Canis lupus familiaris: one gene and its partner. The protein of the gene in region 1 purifies or fractionates together with the protein of each later gene. This does not show direct contact. Links are inferred from orthologs where the notes say so. Each region holds a gene or a part of one and is shown in the gene's direction. Other genes may lie near its edges.

Region 1 (3,815 bases):
AATCTGCCCTCCTGTGTGTGGATTTACCTCTTGTGGACATTTCATGTAAGTGGAATCATACCACATGTGTGTGACCTTTTGTGGCTGACTTCTTTGGCTTGGCACATCATTAAGGTTCAGGTGTCACGGTTGAGGGGTATATGACTGTGTTACATTTAAAAAATCCTCAGTTAAAAAACAAGTGTTTTAGCTTCAAGTGCTGTGTCAGACAACATCAGGTGACGCTGTGTTTTTAACTGTCTAGGGCTGCGGAAAAGGGAAATTTTGAAGCTGCCGTGAAGCTGGGCATAGCCTACCTCTACAATGAAGGCCGTAAGTCCTTGCGGGGCTGGGCTGGCCTTGCCCCACTGGGTGCTGAGCACGTAGAACAGGCATGAGCCCTTCCCAGTGGGAGCCATTCAGTCCTTATTCTTGCTTGTCCGGCCATATGCCTCTCCCCTTGTCCACTGGACCCCGCAGGTTGTGTGTAGGTGCTGGGCCCTCTCCTTCCTTGGCCACAGTTCATCTGTGCTGACTGGGACAGCAGTCAAAGGGTGCCTGATTCTACAGGGTATTAATGACGCAGTAGCCACGGCTCCAGGGGAAGGCAGGTCAGAGCCAGCCTGGTGCCTGAGCTCCTTCACCCCCAAGGACCAGGTGGTCCCTGAAAGAAGCTGCATGGCCTTCTCTCCCGGCACCAGCCTCTTTGCTTAGCACACAGAACCAGGCCGCGTGTGTCCAGTCCCAGCTCCCCAAAAGCACAAAGACTGGGGATGGCTGCTAGTTTTCTGTTTCTAAAAGATCTGGTGTCTTGCTGAGAAAGCTCCTGCTCCTATCTGGTTGGCAGGATTGTGGGGACCAGTAGAGATGGTGAGCAGTCCTCCTGCAGGCTCCAGAGAGTGGGCTTCTCTGTCACACAGTGGTTCCTAGACAGAATTCACGAGCCCTGCGGCTCAGCGGTCCAGAGTGTACAGTCAGGCAGTTTTTAGTATGTTCAGAGCTGTGCAGCCATCACCACCATTCACATCTGGAACATTGGCCCAGAAAGAAACACTGTACCCACTAGCAGGGGTTCAGGCTATAGCTCCCAGCAGGAGGGGGGTGGGGGCGTGTGTGCCGCCTCCAGGGGGGCACCTTCCCAGACCTTCCCAGCTTAGGCTGCTGGGAGGACCTGGCAGGGACATGTGATTCACAAGGTAGGAAAGAAGGGGGAGGAGCCCTGTCTTGAAGGGCTCTGCTCTCATTAAACGCTAACAACTTCTTACTGTGTGAGGTTGTAGACTTTCACAAAAGCCTGTGGGGAATTTTGTGCACCTGTCCTTTGGACCCAACTCAGGCTTACGTTCTCCACAGTGTCTGTGTCTGATGAAGCCCGTGCAGAGGTGAATGGCCTGAAAGCCTCTCGCTTCTTCAGCCTCGCTGAACGACTCAATGTGGGTGCCACACCCTTCATCTGGCTCTTCATCCGCCCTCCGTGGTCGGTGTCTGGAAGCTGCTGCAAGGCCGTGGTTCACGAGAGCCTCAGGGCAGAGTGTCAGCTACAGGGAGCAAGCCCTGGCGAGGGACACACGGGAGGCTGGCATGCTGGACGGTCCGAGCCCCATAGGGTGAGGAGACACTGGACCGTGTAAGGCCAGGCGCTTGAGGAACGTGGAGGTGCAGAAAGTCAAGAGTGTGGGTGTGGGGGCATCTGGAGATGAGTCAGCAGGTGGGGAAGGCTCAGAGCTGGGGCTCCCCAGGGAATCATAAGAGGGGCTGGGCTGAAAACCCTTGACAGCTGAGAACACAGGACCCAGGCTCCTGGAAGCCTGGAATCAGGAAGCGCCTCTCGGTATGGGGTTGGGGCCAGGTGGGGGCCTCAAGAACACATGGATGGGGGAGGGGGATGGGCTGGAAGCTTCCTTTCTGCTGATGATCACACTCCCTACCCCCCTTATCGTCTAGACTCACAGAGCATCTCTGCTACACTGCTTGGGGAGAGTGCTCAGTCTCTTCGAGGTGAGTCCATCGCCCTGGGTCCAGTGGGCCTGCCACCATGCAACACAGGACTCTGTTTCTGTGCTACCTACCTTTCTGGCCATTCCAGACACCATGGACCAGGGAGTAAGTGGGAAGCAGTACCCCTCCTGTTGTGCAGGGTGTAAAGGCAGGCTCCACCTGTGAGGAAACCTCCACATCCCACCTGGGAGGGCCAGTGTGGAGGGCCCAGCCAGACACAAACCTCATGCGGGAGGAAAGGAGCCTGTGAGGGCAGAGCTCGTAAGCTCGCTGTCCTGGTGCTGGTCAAAGCACACATCTTAAGTCGTTTCCACTCTTGATTTATTTATTGCACCCCCCCCAAAGATTTTATTTATTCATGAGAGACATAGAGAGGCAGAGACACAGGCAGAGGGAGAAGCAGGCTCCATGCAGGGAACCCAATGTGCGACTCCATCCTGGGACTCCAGGATCACCCCCTGGGCTGAAGGCAGACGCTTAGCCACTGAACCACCCAGGCATCCCTCCACTCCCGACTTAGTTAACTCTGTCAGGAGAAAAGCCCACGAATGTGATTCCAAGAGGTCCGAGGAGAGACGGTAGTGGCCAGTAGAGTCTGGTGTTCTGCAGAAAGCGGGGTGAAAGAAGCCACTGTCTGGGGTCTGTTGTAGGATGAAGAGCGGAAGCAGCAGGCCCAGGACCTGTTTGAAGAGTCTGCTAATCAGGGATGTCTGGTCAGCTCATACCTCCTCTGGGAACGAGACAGGAGGACGGACGTGAGTGGGCCGGGGTCTGGGGAGAAGAGGATTTGTGTTGGCCAGAGGTGCCATCTCCAAATGGGCCCTTTGGCAAGGTTCCGTCCATATGGGAGACCCTTGTGCTGCTCCTGGAGCCCCAGGAGCCTCTGTGCAGGAGCCGTTCCCAATGGCTGCCCCCAGCAACCTCCGTCATTTGGATGTAAGGGGCTGGGAAGAAGGCTGAGCTGTGGACCCCCTGGGGATGTTGGGAGGAACATTTAAGAATTGATGGGTTGGTTCTGAGTTTTTCCAGAGACACAACTATATAAAAGCATGATGACTCTCTTGCACTGACAGATGTCAGATCCTGGGCGATGCCTCTACAGCTTCCGGAAACTCCGAGACTACGCTGCCAAAGGCTGCTGGGAAGCACAGGTAAGGCAGGAGCTGGCCTTTCTCCTTCTACCTCTTCCCGTGGGGACCATGGTGGCAAGATCCCACTCATAGGCAGTAGCAGTGGCTCAGGGCTGGCGCCAGAGCTTACAGGAGTGTAGCTGTGGGGTGTGCAGGGAGGGCGGCCTGGGGGTGCTTCATCTCTGCCCTTTACCCTGGCGCCTCCAGGCCCCCTGCCCAAAGCCAGCCCGGCTGCCCATGCACCACATTGCTGTTAGCCCTCCTGTTGCTCCCTGAGGGTGCCGGTAGCTGGGGCACCTGGGAGCACATGGGTGTGTGGAACATTTCCTGGCTCTCGTCATTTGACCGGCTCAGCAGGTCACCCAGCGTTAGAACCAGGGCACAAGGCATTTGCTGGCAGTGGTCTCTGGACGCTGTCCTGTGGCAGCTATAAAGAATCATTGTTTAAGACAAAGGCAAAAAAAAAAAAAAAAAAAAGACAAAGGCAGCCCCTCTTTGCCAGGCAGGTGCAAACTCACTCTTGTCGCCCCACCAAGGGCGTGTTTGAGAGTTATCTGCCCTAAAAGTGAGGGAAGAAACCACAGAGCGGGAGGTGGCCCAGCCTGACTGTCACAACACAGTAACGTTTATGTCCAGGGCAGTCAGCGAGCTTAGAGAGACAGAACTGCGAACAGTGCAGTTCCCTCAGAAGCTCCAAGGAGACATGAG
Region 2 (2,741 bases), on another chromosome or scaffold:
AAAATGAGTGGTGGCTTGGAAGGGCTGGCAGGCTTCGGGAGACAAGTTTATAGACCGAAATGAGGAAGGATAAACGTAGGCCTGACTGAGATAAATAAACAGAATGGGCAGTAGGATCAGGAGGGTCTGGTGGTTCAAAAGCTAGGGAGAGGCAGACCCTGGTCTCAGGATGTCGACATGGAAAGAGAATGAAGAGAGCAATGTGGTTGCTCTAATGACCTTGGGTTCAGAAGACAAGGTCACCTGATAAAGGGACAGGCTGGGGAATCTAGACTCCCAAGCTGGGCACAGAAGGCGGAAGAGGATAATAAGGAAGAACTAGGCAAGTCGGGGGGACAGTTGATTTACTTTCCTGATCTGGGATCATCAGTGTAAGTATAGACTTATAAGTAGGAAGCAAGCTCAGATTATTCGGTTTATTGGCTTTAATTATTTTATTATATCCATATGGCATTTGGGGCCTATATAATTAGCCCGATATGATTAGTGAAGATGGTGCTACCTAGGAAGATAATGGTCAGCGTAGCTTAAATAGTCTTAGCAGTTAAGATTTTATGGCTTCTCAAGTTTAAAGATAGGGCCTGTGAACTTTGTCATGACCTGGACTTGATATAATAAAAGCCGATAAATGTTCTTGGTGTAATGGACTAAGACTTTTAAGGTTAGTAGATCTCAGGGCTCCTTGTGAAGTAAAGAATACCTATTTTGGTATTAACAGGAGCCAAATGAATGTTGGGATTTTAAAAAGAACACTTGGTGGGGGGTGGGAAGCAAAAAAGGTAATGAGAAAACATTTCAGTTTTGAGTCTCAATTTCGCCTTGGTCCCAGTGTTCTCTACATGTTTGTGGTAGGAAGTCTTTGCTGTAATTGCTGATATTCTGGGTGTCTCCTAGGGAATTTCTCTTCAACGCCATTGAGACGATGCCTTGTGTAAAGAAGAAGGCAGATTGGGCCTTGCGTTGGATTGGGGACAAAGAAGCTACCTATGGTAAGGCCACTTGGCCCCACGGATGCCTGAGTTTCATCCTCTAAGTGACATCATGGTTTGTTGGCCCTTCCTGTGCACATGTACGGTTGCTCACCGGAACCATGTCGGTGTTAACTCTTCACAGGAGAACGGGTTGTGGCCTTTGCTGCCGTGGAAGGAATCTTCTTTTCGGGTTCTTTTGCGTCAATATTCTGGCTCAAGAAACGGGGCCTGATGCCTGGCCTCACGTTTTCCAATGAACTTATTAGCAGAGATGAGGTGAGTCTAATTCAGGCTAATGTGCACCCCAAACATCTACAACTCTTTGGTTCACTGAAGGGAACTCGATAAAATGTTGCCTCATGTCCACATTGAACATGAATTCAGCCATATCTGGGCTTGGTAGAACATGAAATATATTGAAAGTACTTGTATTCTCAATACTCGTCCAGTCTCCTGTATGAGCCTACTGTGCTCCAAAGTTGGTCGATAAGCATCCTAAAGGAAGTGAGAATCCTTCTGGTCCAGTGTCCTGTCTTTGACTGCACTTGGATTAAGCTGGAGGGAAAGGCGAAGATGTCTAGATGCTCTCATTTGATTCTAGTTGGCAAAGCCAGAGCCACAGACCCTGTCATGCTTGGAGCCCAGTGACCAATAAGTTGATCTTGCTTTGTAAGTTCTTCCTTCTGATCTAGGAACATCAGGGTTACTTGGCACTAAGACTTGTAGACTCCATTCACTGGCAGTTGCATCACTGATTTCCTGACCATTAGGTTGTAAATCTCAAAACCAGCCAAGTCAATCTCAAAGCAGCCTAGTCACTGCTGGGAATAGTGGCAAAATGAGAGCTCACGGATGTAGAAAAAAATGCTTTGAGCTGAAGTCCTACCCTGTCCTGTGCTCCTGTATGGGGCAGCAGGGAACAGACTTGGCCTGCTGTCATTGCCCTGGGTAGCAGTGTTGAGGGCCTTGGGATAAGGCTGAACCTGCCGTGACCTACACAGAGCAGATGGCAGTTGAAATCCTTTTCCCTTTGACAGTTTTAAGTGCTTTTAGTATGTTCGCATGAGACATATGAGGAGAATGCAGAAAAGGGTAAAGCCATTTCCTGTTTCACGTTAACGATAGACGTCTGGTTTTATAGTGATCTTAAACCTTTTCTTCTAGGGTTTACACTGTGACTTTGCCTGCCTGATGTTCAAACACCTGGTCCACAAACCTTCAGAGCAGAGGGTGAAGGAAATAATTATCAATGCCGTTAGGATAGAACAGGTGGGTGATACAGGAGGGTCTCTTGTGCTCACCAGAAGAGGTCTTTATGCTTCTGTTCTATTGAGAAGCTGCGTTTCGATCCCTAGGAGTTCCTCACGGAGGCTTTGCCAGTGAAGCTCATTGGGATGAATTGCACGTTAATGAAGCAGTATATTGAATTCGTGGCAGACCGACTTATGCTGGAGCTCGGTTTTAGCAAGGTACAGTATTGTTTATAGCCTTCTGGTTCTCCTGAAACTGCTGTTCTGTATTTAAATTTTCCTGTGAACCTTTTCAGGTTTTCAGAGTAGAAAATCCATTTGACTTTATGGAGAATATTTCACTGGAAGGGAAGACTAACTTCTTTGAGAAGAGAGTAGGCGAGTATCAGAGGATGGGAGTGATGTCAAGTCCAACAGAGAATTCGTTTACCTTGGATGCTGACTTCTAAGTGAATGAAGATGTGCTCTTTGCTGATTTTTTTTTTTCCCTTTCTCATCAAAAAAAAAAAAAATCAGCTAC

Evidence for each region.
Region 2: the proteins of CCNF (region 1) and RRM2 purify together in Homo sapiens (affinity purification with western blotting; 5 studies listed by BioGRID and IntAct, with this or other methods). This does not show direct contact. The link is inferred for Canis lupus familiaris from reciprocal best matches to the Homo sapiens genes CCNF and RRM2.

What each region holds. Positions count from the first base shown.
Region 1 is NC_049227.1:39,028,923-39,032,737, reverse strand, and holds part of CCNF (cyclin-F), read left to right. Parts: intron 1-244; coding exon 245-312; intron 313-1,332; coding exon 1,333-1,586; intron 1,587-1,923; coding exon 1,924-1,977; intron 1,978-2,359; exon of another isoform or gene 2,360-2,627; coding exon 2,628-2,732; exon of another isoform or gene 2,733-3,050; coding exon 3,051-3,128; exon of another isoform or gene 3,129-3,815. UniProt on the Homo sapiens protein: Substrate recognition component of a SCF (SKP1-CUL1-F-box protein) E3 ubiquitin-protein ligase complex which mediates the ubiquitination and subsequent proteasomal degradation of target proteins.
Region 2 is NC_049238.1:7,115,445-7,118,185, forward strand, and holds part of RRM2 (ribonucleoside-diphosphate reductase subunit M2), read left to right. Parts: intron 1-894; coding exon 895-989; intron 990-1,113; coding exon 1,114-1,247; intron 1,248-2,135; coding exon 2,136-2,240; intron 2,241-2,326; coding exon 2,327-2,440; intron 2,441-2,517; coding exon 2,518-2,670; 3' UTR 2,671-2,741. UniProt on the Homo sapiens protein: Provides the precursors necessary for DNA synthesis. Catalyzes the biosynthesis of deoxyribonucleotides from the corresponding ribonucleotides. Inhibits Wnt signaling.